3 linked regions of the Arabidopsis thaliana genome follow. The protein of the gene in region 1 interacts with the protein of each later gene in a pairwise test. Each region holds a gene or a part of one and is shown on either strand. Other genes may lie near its edges.

What was found. Proteins that work in one complex are often made in the same cells at the same time.
Region 2: the proteins of AT3G11100 (region 1) and WRKY45 interact in binary tests that used the Arabidopsis thaliana proteins (3 or more experiments, as listed by UniProt).
Region 3: the proteins of AT3G11100 (region 1) and PYE interact in binary tests that used the Arabidopsis thaliana proteins (3 or more experiments, as listed by UniProt).

What each region holds. Positions count from the first base shown.
Region 1 is NC_003074.8:3,475,667-3,479,924, forward strand, and holds AT3G11100 (sequence-specific DNA binding transcription factor), read right to left. Parts: upstream 2,235-4,258; 5' UTR 1,655-2,234; coding exon 919-1,654; intron 838-918; coding exon 824-837; 3' UTR 521-823; downstream 1-520.
Region 2 is NC_003074.8:325,393-329,235, forward strand, and holds WRKY45 (WRKY DNA-binding protein 45), read right to left. Parts: upstream 2,021-3,843; 5' UTR 1,768-2,020; coding exon 1,514-1,767; intron 1,412-1,513; coding exon 1,222-1,411; 3' UTR 560-1,221; downstream 1-559. Other genes in the region: AT3G01980 (NAD(P)-binding Rossmann-fold superfamily protein), read right to left, coding at 2,355-2,633, 2,707-3,226, 3,350-3,441. UniProt on the Arabidopsis thaliana protein: Transcription factor. Interacts specifically with the W box (5'-(T)TGAC[CT]-3'), a frequently occurring elicitor-responsive cis-acting element.
Region 3 is NC_003074.8:17,565,152-17,569,944, forward strand, and holds PYE (basic helix-loop-helix (bHLH) DNA-binding superfamily protein), read left to right. Parts: upstream 1-1,974; 5' UTR 1,975-2,051; exon of another isoform or gene 2,052-2,053; intron 2,054-2,324; exon of another isoform or gene 2,325-2,542; intron 2,543-2,694; 5' UTR 2,695-2,726; intron 2,727-2,843; 5' UTR 2,844-2,883; coding exon 2,884-2,942; intron 2,943-3,032; coding exon 3,033-3,136; intron 3,137-3,244; coding exon 3,245-3,372; intron 3,373-3,518; coding exon 3,519-3,950; 3' UTR 3,951-4,234; downstream 4,235-4,793. Other genes in the region: AT3G47630 (translocator assembly/maintenance protein), read right to left, coding at 1-11; AT3G47650 (DnaJ/Hsp40 cysteine-rich domain superfamily protein), read left to right, coding at 4,425-4,592, 4,688-4,754.

The DNA of each region.
Region 1 (4,258 bases):
TGTATGAAAAAGGGTTTTAACTTCAAAAGTAACCATCACATGCGATGAGATAACTCAGGTACAAGATGAGCCTTGGAAGGTCAGAGTCCTTACCAGTTTTGGACCAAGTGGTAGGCCAAGGTGAGTAAAGTGAGGTGTTTTAGATGAAGAGCTTCTTTGTAAGTCAGGTATGAATAGGAGAGCACATGCTTATGTCATCCCGAAATTCTACCAAACATGAAACATTGATATATATGCTTCTATGATGTTCTTTTTTGAGGCTCCAATAATACAGCCTCATGTGTCAACTCGTCTCCCTCAGGCCACAAGAGTCTTGTCCTGGAGATTCCAGAGTGCAGCAAAGTCACATAAGCAAACATCCAAATCAATAGCTTGGTGGGTTTGATCAAATTCCAAACTGAATTATGAATGACTCTGATAAGAGTTCTCCTCAGAACCGTTCTACGCATCTTGTTAAGTCTGTACACATTCCTGAAACCTGCCTAAGCAAAAGAGTAATTGCAGATCACAGAAAGAGAGATGAGCACAATTTGGAACTGCAGACACTGATACACAAACCATCATACATTGATACTTCACAAAAGTACATCTTGATATGTCAGATACTATGAGAGTTCTTTTGGTAATTCGCATTGCTACTACCAATGTAACTCTACAATGCTAAAAAAGAGAATGAAAAAGAAGAAGAAGAAAAAAAGCATCGCGCTATAACTTAAGAAAACCTAAAGATCAATAATAATAACATCTTCTCCAAATCGTATGAGCTTTAGATCCAACCATTGCTCCTTGCTTCACATCAGTAACTCCTCCACAATCTACAATCCTACAACTTCTTACCTATACAACAAACAAAGCACAACTGAAGTTTCAGTAAACTCATCAATCACAACAAAACACACATAAAAATGAAAACTTTACCTGAAGCAGCTCTTCGTTTCCCAAGTTTAGATTTCTCAAGCTCCAATTGCATCTCCATCAACATATTCATTCGTTGTAACTCAAGCTCCTTTGCAACTTCCATTCTCTGTTTCTCCAATTCAATCATCATCTGTTGCTTCTTCCCCTCGATTCTCTCAAACGCTTCCCCTAACTTCAGAATCGATCTCGCTAGCTCCCTAAAGGCTGATCCTTCACTCGAATCTACATCTTCAACTTTACGATGCTTCCTCACCACAAATCCCCAATCACCCGCATCATCATCATCTTCTTCGTCGTCATCATCATCATCATCATCGTCATCGAGAGAGCTACCAGTTGATTTAGATCCAGTAGGATTCAAATTAGGGTTCATCAACGCCGATTTAACAACAGCACCGGACGATTTCTTCATAACCGGACCGATTAAGAAATCGAGTCTATCAAAGAAGCACCAATTCGATAAAGGTTTCGCCTTTTCAGTTTTGTACTTCTTCTTCAACGTATCGATCCGGTTTTTGCACTGTACATCGGTCTTTGGCCGGCCATTCCCGTGGCTTGAATTGACGGCGTCGGCGACTTCTTTCCAATCGTTTTGCCGGAGATTTCCCCGGTTGAGATTGACGTAACGATCTCCCCAAGCTTCGATCAATGTCGCCGTAGCGTCTTCGCTCCACCAATCCTCTCTTCCCGCCGGTAGACGGTGAGTCTTCGACTGAGTCTCCGGCGTCGTCTCCATCTCGGAGTGGGAAAGAGAGGAGGCTAACGTGCGCGGTGGAGAAAGAGGCTTAGGATAAGAATTTCTGTTGGATCGGATTTTTGGTAAAGTTAAAAGAGAAATTACGGTTAAAGGAGAGATTTTTGATTACCGGCGGTGACGTCAGCAACGGCGATTATCTTCTTTCTCCTACCTCTCTCTTTTTCCTCTGCTAACCGAATCAATCACACTCATTTCTGAAAAACCGGTTATCGAAAACGGTTATCGAAAACCGGTTTAATCATAAATTGAGAGTCCTACTAACTAGGCTACTACTAGTTATAGTCAATTTCAAGCTTCTTTTAATGCGTTTCTACGGGTAATGATGATAAGATTACATTATTAAACTCATAGACTGATTGATAATAACGATTAGGGCTAGAATCTCATCAGTTCATGTCATTATAGGAAATCTTATAACGTGTATTTTTGTGTATTCTAGGAAAGACAGTAAATATGAGGTTGTATTAGTTTTGGTAGTGGTTTTTAAAAGTCATAATTGGAAAGAAAGAAATGTTATCAGAATATTAAGAAAATTTATACGTTTTGTGTATTCCAGTAACAAGATCATTTACGTTACGCCGTAACAAATTGAAGTTTGGAAGTGAAAAATGGTGGGATGTAATTAAGGAAATAGGTAAGCAGGCGAATTGTTAGGTAATAAGAGAGAGCATCGCAAACGTGTTAGGTCGTAGACTCTATGTCTATAATGTATGTTTCGTGCCGTGTCTTGTCTAATTGTCTTTTTGCTGTCTCGCCAATTGATATGTTAGTCCATGCCTAACTACTACTGTTTCCTCATAACTACTAAAATGTCGCTGAAATATTTGAAAAAAGAGCTGAGGTGTTTTTTCTGTCGATCAAAGTTTCCACGATGGTCTTGGTGAAGAGCTAGTAGAAATAAGCATATAGTTAGTGATGTTAACTTGGGCATTGAATAGCCATTTGTTAAATGGGTATGTGCAAAAAAAAATAACCCATTTAAACCCATTTAGAGAAAAATATCAAATGGGGTTAAATGGGTTACCCCAATTAAACCTATTTAATAAATGGGTTTACCCACAAACAAATGGGTACCCATTTATGTTTTATTTTATATTAGTTATTTTTATTAAAAAGTAGATAACTTAATTATAACTAAAATAAAGAGCAAAATACTAAATATATTTAAAACAAAACGTAAAATCACGTTTTTCCGCTAAAACCCATAAAATTACGTTTTCCCACCAAAATCACGTTTTTTACCAAAATCGAAAATCACATTTTCCCACCAAAATCGTAAACCGACGTTTTTCCGCCAAAATCGTAAAATCACGTTTTCCCGCCAAAACTGTAAAATGACGTTTTCCCACCAAAATTGAAAATCACGTATTTTCGCCAAACCCGTAAAATCACGTTTACCCGCCAAAATCGTAAAATCACGTTTTCCCGCCAAAATCGTAAAATCACGTTTTCCCGCCAAAACCGTAAAATCACGTTTTCCCGCCAAAATCACAAAAAGTGTTTTCCGCCAAAACCGTAAAATCACGTATTTCCGCCAAAACCGTAAACGACATTTTCCCGTAAAACCGTAAAATCAAGTTTTCCCGCCAAAATCACAAAAAAAAATATTTTTTGCCAAATTTGAAAATATTATTATCATTATATGTTATTGAAATCTATATTTTAGTAAATTATAAATATTTCAGATTTAGCTAATGTTTATGGACTGTTGTTATTTATCTATTAAGTTTATGAATTAATTAATAAAAGGCAATATCTCACTTAATTGGTTTAAATGGGTTCACATGGATTTACTAAATTTAAATGGGTAGGGTTAAATGGGTTTCAAAAATAAATGGATTTATATGAGTTTAAAGTTAAATGGAGTGGGTTTAAATGGGATGGGTTTAATTGGGGTGGGTTAGCCCATATTAACATCACTACATATAGTTTTCTAAACTAAATATGTCATTATCATCATTTACTGGTTTACATGCATCTTTTATACATTTCAAACTTTCTTATGAAAACGCAGATGTGAAAAGATAAATCATGATTTACAGGTTATCAAAGTGATGTGAGTTGGAACGTAAAACAATTTAGTTTGTCAACTGAATCTTAGACGCAATCGATTATTGTTACTCTTAAATCACTTTACAATAATATCAAATATCACATCCTGCAGCCAAGTAATCGAGCTAATCCATGATCAAGTATAGGTGGTGAAGCAACTAAAAATGTAGCCAATTTCGTTTGTACGCATAATTAAACAATGCTATTTATTTTAGTATGTTGCTACTTGCCAGTTGCTACCATTGGGATCTCGAAAACACACAAACGTACGTGCATGTTGCCTAATATAGTCTTTATTATTGTTCCTAAACTAATTAAGACAAATTAAAACAATATATAAAGTAACAAAAAAAAATCCCACTTTCCTTCAAACTTGAGTCTTGCTTGTACAGACAGTTGTACTACTTGTGGAAGCTGTTTAACTCAAATTAATATTCTCTTTCTGTTATTTTATTTAAGGAAATACAATCACGTGACTGAGATTAGCACTAGTATACTATATATATACATCACGACGCTGTTTTTATACAT
Region 2 (3,843 bases), 3.2 Mb from region 1:
CCTTACGCACTATATTTACGCTCCTTAATTATCTATCTTCCGCGGTAGACAGATGATACGGACGATTTATGAGAAATATCTCGGAGAAAATTTATAAGATATATCTTGTAGTTCAATTAATAGATATATTATTCTCTAAGTTCTATATGAAATAATGGATGGCGCAAAGCCGCAAACTCTACAATTTCTCATTGCAAAACATATTTTCCCAATTGCTATATAAAAAAAGAACATAACATTTTTCCATTCAATGGGTTCGGAAAAAAGTGAAAGTGTTGAGATTAAGGAACCGTTATTTTATCCGTGTTTAATAAATTTTGTGTAACTAACTTTTTCGTATAACTTTTGAAAAGAATCAAGAAAATGTGGATAAGTTTCGATTTATGTAAGAATGTGAATTAATTTATTCGTGAGAGATTAATATAAAGAAATTCACAAGCGAATAACATTATCTTCGTGCGGTATTGTGGCGGCGGTAAATTAAAACGCAACAATTTGAGTTTGATAATTATTACGAAAGACTTAATTAGCTAAATCTGTAAAATAACATTATCTTCGTGCCGATGTCATCAAAACACTCTAGAATAGAAAAGGAAGAAAGCATATCTTTTGAGAAGATTCTGACTGTTATGTGATCTATATATATTCTGTTGCATATTTGCTTTTGTGTTAAATGGTCCAATGGTATAATCCAATAATATCACCATATTCCGGATGACATGGTCCTTGGTTCTTTTTGTAAAGATTTGGGCTTGTTGGGCTGACTTGACATTATGAAAAACACGAGAGCCCAGGCTAATGGGCCTAACAAAGAAAGCGTCCTCCGTTCTAAAGCGAAACGTGAAGCATATTCGCAATTGGATCCAAGAAGAAACCTCAAAGTTAGCTTTCGTACTCTTTCTCATCTTCATCTCCACAATATCCTTAGCTTGTCACTAGTTTTGGAATAATCGGTAGGTTTGGGATACATAACATTGTTTTTGTAGATGATAGACTCATCATTGCTTCTTTATGTTTGGTAATTTGATGATGAATATACTTTCGATTACAGGGCAGCCGAGACTAAGACACCAAAGCAGATGGATTCAAAGGTCCCATAAAGACAAAGATAAGGATTAGTATTTTTGAGATATGTGAGTTGCTGCTAGTTTAAAAGTAAAGGTCTGATGGTGTGAGCCCAACGTTTTTGGGAAAGTAAATATTACAATCCAATTCCTCTAATCATTCCTTCAAGCAAAAGGGAGGGAAGATGTGCATTTGTGTCAAGATGTGGTGGAAATTATCAGAGGGTTTATCAACGGCATGTGTATGAACACCTTGGTATGTCGTCACCACCACTCCTTCGTCTCCCCATTGCCTCTGCACTTGCTTCTTCACTCTGCATCCTTCTTCTGTGCACTTATAATAGCTCCTATATATATATATATTCATATTTTACATGTATGTATATGAGTCTCTTATTTGATCACCATAGCAAGCATACAGTATCATTCATTGATGATTAAGTACGTACCTGGGGAATGGATTGTTCTTGACTGCTTTTTGGCCGTACTTCCTCCACCTGTATCCATCATCCAGTATATCAACCTGGCTTCTTGTCTGGAACGCGTACCTCGCTTCTCTCTCTTTCTTCTTCTTCTTACTCCTTGGCTTCTCTTCGGATGATGTTGTCGGCTGAGCAGAGTTGTCGACCCCATGAAACTCTGTCAAGCGAGGATCAACCGATGATGAACATGGAAACAACACATCACACCTCCTATCCTCCATTTCTTAACTCCCTCTGCGTTTATGGTGGGAACTTGAAAAAAGCCAAGGAGGGGAGGGAGAGAAAGAGAGACGTACACGGTAGCGAAGATGCCAGAGAAAGTGATATATATTGAAAATATGGCTACATTAGCGGATCCATCACAGAAAAAGAGTTTTGTGGAAACAAAAAGGTGTGGCGGCTACATCATTCTGATTTATATTATTATATATGCAACTCCTTCAAATTTTGGTTCAATGGATTCAAATTTCAAACATATTTCTTGGTCAAGAATCAATATGCATCTAGATCTCTGAGGTAATCATTCTTTTCTTATTTGATTTACAATTTGGATTAGCAAGGTTTCCAAGATAATATCCAATATCACGTGTATTTGAGGTTCACCTACCAAACTTGATTGAATTCAATAAACAATGAGCTCGAATGATGTTGAGATTGTTGACTATTTTGGCTCTTTGCTTTCTTCTATACTTGTCAAAAGTATATAATCATTGATTCCATGGATTATTCATCCCTCCATAGTTATTCAAACTTGATTCATATTCACTTTTTACACACAACATAGAATTATAATAATACTAGGCATTGATCACATGTAGGATTTGAGACGGGGTCGCGTAAGGGACTGCGCTCCATCCACCAAGACAGTGGTGCCTGTCATGAAGCGTGAGCCATCGCTGATCAAGTAGATAACAGTGGAGTAGAGGTCTGTGTCCGGGTTGAGCCACTGGCCGAGGGGTGCAGCGTCCTTGACCAGCTTCTGCGCTCGGTCTCTTCCCACAGAAGCTGTATACTCATCATCCAGATGCAGCCCTCTAGAGATCATGTTGACCCGTATCTTGTGCTTCCCGAGACTCATGGCTGATGCCTGAAACCCAATCATCAACAAACATATTCAAGTTACGAACGCGATGTGTCTAATTAGGAGCTAGGATGCATACCCGGACGAGCTGGTGAATAGCGGCAGAAGTTGAAGCGTAGGCATCAGCGCCAGGGTAAAGCGCCCTCTCTCCGCTGGCGATAGTGGCCATGAAGACAATGGAGCCTCCTGATCCATGGTCCTTCATCCTTGTGGCTACAGCCTTCAAGAGAAACCATGGAGCGGTGAGATTGATCTTTGTGATTCTGTGGAACTCATCTTGAGAGACTTGAAGAATGTCCTGCACCTTTCCTGCAAGAAAGAAAGATTGTTGAATAAAGGAATGATCAACACACAAGAGCATCAAAGGCAGGGTAGTGAAAAACAAGAAGCAAATTAAACCTTGGTAGGTATAAGAGTTGAGAAAAGCATCGAAATGGCCGGAAAGTTCCCATGCCTTTTGGACAGCGGCATGAAAAGCAACTTCAGAGTCAGATTCCATGTCGAGTGCTATAACATCGGCAGGGAAGGCTCCCTCAATGGAATCTCTAATCTTGTCTACAATGCTCCTTAGGGAACCCTCATTTCCCATCATTACCAACCTAGCAACAGTACATTGCATTTTTTGAAGGTTAACTATAGACACCAAAGTCAACCACAACACAAATCGGGGCTAGAAGAAGAAACACAGGATAGGAGGAAAGAAGACAAAATGAGAGACTCACTTGCAACCGTGTTTGGCTAGATGGAAAGCGATGTTTCGGGACACCTCGTCGCCGTTGGATGTCATCAACACTCTCTTCGCCGGATTTTCCATTTTGCCAAAGTAACTCTTTATAAAACAATTCAGCAGATTCAACAAGACTTAAGGGAGGGAGGGAGTGAGATTGATTCGATCGCCAATTCTAAATAACTATAAAGAGTGGCTGCAAAAGCTCTTACCGGAACTGTGTCTGTGTGTTACCAAAACGGCGAAACAAAGCAAATAATTAATGCCTAACCACATGATCCACCACGTTCTGTTGTTACCTTCTTTAATTTGTAGATAGAAGAAGATGGTGATTGATAACGGAGATGTATTTTTTTCTTTAATAAAAAGCCCACTTCAAGGCCCAGATCCATTTCTGTACTTTGTAGGTTTTCCAACTTTCCCGGCGCCGGAAGCAAGCGTAAGTTATCACTGTTCCCCAACCAAATTCCATCATATCCTATTATCCTA
Region 3 (4,793 bases), about 14 Mb from region 1:
GTAGTTTCCATTCAGACAAAAATAACCCTTGTAATGTATTCAACTGGGCAGACCTATTCAGATGAAGAAACGTAATAAAAAGGTTGCTTCTGATAGATTGGTCAAATTTGATTTCGAGTAATCTAATTAAAGTTTCTACAATTAAGTTCATGATCATTTGATCATTTTGATTTCAGATTGACACAAACCTTGGAAAAAAGGAGAGGAACGAAGCCAGAGGAGGAATTAGGAAGCGTTAGTTGATTTAAGAGGGGAATTGAAGAAGCTTACCTGCGACTGCGAGTGAAGGCGGCGAAGAGCGAGGAAGAACAACAAACGCCGTGAAGCTAGCTTTTTTGGGTTTGGGCCAAACGAGATTAGTTTCTAACAGATGTTTTTCCGGACCCGGACCGGTAATACCCACGATCCGCTTAATTATTTGGTCCCTGTCTAGCTCTAAAATCCCGGTGCAAACGAACCGGCAAAACCAACGACCTAGCGGTTCGGTATTTTGTTTCTGAAATCTGAACCCTCCGATTTGTTCTTCTTTTTTTTTTTCTTTTTATAATGCAAACAATTGATGAAAAAATATATTATGGTCCGAATGGTAACCTCGGTTTTTAATATGTGAGAAAAGTGGTATAACATTGCAGTACAGTTCAATTACGGTACGTGCGAGAAAAATATATTTGCGGGACAAATATGGTTTGTACAAAATAAGCGGTACAGAATAATGTTTGATTGATGAAAAAATTATTTGCGGTGCGGATTATAAATTATATATATATATATATATTAATAATTAATTATTATTTTTGTGTTAATAAATAAGCAATAACATATATTTATAAATTATTAATACATAAATAAATCAAAATATACATTTTTAAAGTTTAACATACATATTATTAAATTCGTTGAATAGTTTCATCATAAAAAATTGAAAAAAAAATCATAATTTTTTACTAGTAAATTGATTATAGAACTTATATAAGCTTATAGTGGATAATAATTGTCAAAATTTCTATAAGTATTATGATATTTCTATTTCTTGTAATTACATTTTCTTAGATTTTAATTAAATAAAAAGAATAAAACTATAATTATTGCATATATATATATATATATATATATATATATATATATATATTAAAGTCCATTAGTTAAGCAAATTGTTATGTCCTACGTATATTTTTTTCTTTTATGCACTAGGTAACTAGTGATTCTGATGCACACATATACTCTCTTTTTTTGTACATATATTTAAATGGGGAAGCTAATGGAAAAAAAATTAAAATTTGCTTAAGTAATGGAGTAATAAACGAGGGATGTGTGTATGGAAGAGGCAAAGGCTGAGAAACTTTTGGTTGGGACGTAGGACATAACAATTTGCTTAAGTAATGGAGTAATGAACGATTTTTTTGTTGGAATGCGGTTTTGAGCAAAAACACTAGGTAAATGATTTTTCTTCTTTTGAAAAGCATTCCAGTGTATTGTTTTTAGGACAAAATTGCAAACTTTTTTCTTTTTTTTTTCGAAAAACGCAAATTTGTTAAAAGTATTGATTGGTAACTGTATTGTAGTTTTAATAAAAAAACAAGAAAACGCCTTTTGTATGTTTCTTAATCACAGTGTATGAATGGTGACATAGACCGCCCCCAAAACCGTACCGTAACTGTAACAGTATAAAAAATCTCTATATATACATATATATCTATGTATTTTTGTTATTATTTGAACCGTCCCATACTTTTTCCGTATCACAAAATACAGTCATCATTCGAACCGCAAAACTATATATAGTATTTCGGTTTTTGAATTCAAAATGAAGGAGAAGAGGAATAGGCAGATTAATATAATTTCGTTATTTCTTTTTAATTTCCTATCTTCAATTTTTCCTCACCCACTGAATTTGACTATGCCATTAAAAATGTGTATACTAATCATCATACCGTCAATAAATAGAGTTTGTGGGAAACACACGACAGACACGTCATCAGCTCTCGACGGCGCGTTTCCATGCCTTTATTATCCTTCACGTTGACCCCACATGCCCCTGTTTTTTTTTTTTGGTGTTCTACGGTATATTTTTGTGAAAATGTTACTTTTCATCTACTCGATAAAATTCTTAAACAGATAGTACAACTTTTTACCCGATTAATCTGTAGAAAATACAATGTTATTTACACTCAACAAACATTTCCATTAATAGAACTTTACCCGATTTAAACCACTCTTCCACTCGATTAATATTATTATTTTATTAATTAAAGATACGATGACGTGTCCATGAGAGATGAGCTTTAGTGGCACGCAACGTAAGAGAAGAAGACAAAAGTAAAAAAGAGAAAGGCACATGTCGAACTCACGTGTCCACTTAAACGCACCACCTTCTTCTGTGCTCTCCACGCGCCTCCACACGCCCTCCTCAACTTCGGACCTTCTTCCTCCAAAAAAAACAATTTCACTCTTCATTTTCTCAGATTCTCTTATTATTTCTTCTACTCGTTTCGAATCCTAATCGTCTACAGTTTCCGACGAGATTCTCACCGGAGAAAGAAAGGTAGTTCTTTTCTCTGAATCTGTTGTGTTGAGAACTTAGCCGTAATTTTTGAGAATTATTCTTCACTATTTGATTTGACAAGAATATGGGTAATAAAGACAGAATCTAAAACACTTGCTTCAGTTTTTGAGGAATCAAAAATCACACGAAAGTTTTTTTTTTTTTTCTGCTCCTATGTTTCTTGGTGCGTTTGTGTTTATTTGACATTAGGAGTGATTGATTGATTATAAAGATGAATGATTTGTTAGATTCATTAAGATCACTGTTCTTTTTGATTAATCATCTTATGTCTAAATTTTAGGTGACTTGACAGAGAATCTTGTTCTGTAATAAAAGCAAAGATGGTATCGAAAACTCCTTCTACATCGTCTGATGAAGCAAATGCTACTGCAGATGAAAGGTGATTCTTAAGGAGACAATTCTTGGAAATAGATTATGGAACCTTTTATTTTTATTTATGGGGATTGATTATGTTTGGTGTATAAAACAGATGTAGAAAAGGTAAAGTACCGAAAAGGATCAACAAGGCCGTTCGTGAGAGGCTTAAGCGTGAGCATTTGAATGAGCTTTTCATTGAATTAGCCGATACTCTTGGTAAATTTCTCATCTTTCCGTAGATTTGAATGAACAATTGCTCGAGTGTGTTGTGATATTTTGAATGTGATTGTGATATCTAACTGTGAACATGTTTCTTTGTTGCAGAACTGAATCAACAGAACAGTGGGAAAGCTTCTATACTATGCGAAGCTACTCGATTCTTGAAGGACGTGTTTGGTCAAATTGAGTCTCTTAGAAAGGAGCATGCTTCTCTCCTATCTGAATCTAGCTATGTAAGTCAATTTCTATATGCACATTGATTGTGTTTATGTATTCTGTGACGTGAATCAACAACTAAGACGAATGTTGCTTCAAGAAGTTACTTCATCTTTGTATTTTTCTAAATGGTCTTGTTGATGGAAACTGGTGTTGTGTGTAGGTAACCACAGAGAAGAATGAGCTCAAGGAAGAAACATCAGTGCTTGAGACTGAGATTTCGAAACTACAAAACGAGATTGAAGCTAGAGCGAATCAGTCGAAACCTGACTTGAACACCTCTCCTGCACCCGAGTACCATCATCATCATTATCAACAACAACATCCTGAACGTGTATCTCAGTTCCCAGGACTTCCCATTTTCCAAGGCCCCGGCTTTCAACAATCTGCTACAACTCTTCATCCTCCTGCAACAGTTCTTGTCCTTCCAATACAACCTGATCCCCAGACACAAGATATCTCAGAAATGACTCAAGCGCAGCAGCCTTTGATGTTTAATAGCTCAAATGTGAGTAAGCCATGTCCAAGGTATGCTAGCGCGGCTGACTCGTGGTCTTCTCGGCTACTTGGAGAGCGGCTGAAAGCCAGTGAATGAGGTCTTGAACGGCTCCACATGGAGTAGCAACGCAAGTTATAAGACATGGCAACTTATGAAGGACTCTGGTTTTGTATTTTTTAATACATCGTTCTGATGTCCTTGTGGGTTTGGCCTTGGCTATTTCTTGTTTTTGATGGTTGTTCATAGGATCAGGAAGTTATGGCCTTGATGGGTCGTTTGAGATAAATAAGTAAATTAGCTCTAACCATTGTCATTTTCTTTTGTCTTAAGATTCTAAAAACACAGAAACAGAACAAAAAAAATCAAATTTCTTTTTAAGAAAAAAGCTTTCTAATGGAAACTAAAATGTGAAATTGGGTTTAAAAGACAAAACCGGTTAATAGGTTTTGGTTTGGATTGGATAAAGAATATGATGGTATTTTGGTAAAATAGGCACTTGAGAAAAAGAGAAGTGAGAGGAGCCATCTTATCTTTGCTATCGAGTGGGTAAGAAGAATCAGAAAACAGAAAATGGCGAATTCACTATGCTTCTTCTCTTCTCCTCCTACCTTTTGCTTCCAATCTCCAAGCAAAAACCCTAAACCTTCTCACTTCTTCTCAACTAATGATAACACCTCTTCCTTGGTACAGAAGAGAGAACTGCTTCAGACTTCAAGATCCCAAAGTTTTGAAGTTAAGGTTAGAATTTTCCCAAACTCTTCTCTTCTCTATAAAATTTGCTTACTTCATTGACCATTTCGTTAATGCAAAATCTCATTCTGTGGTATCAATAGGCCGCAAACAATAATCCTCAGGGCACTAAACCAAACAGTTTAGTTTGTGCAAATTGTGAAGGGGAAGGTAAGTTCTTACCTGTTTTATAATTCTCTTAGTTTTCTA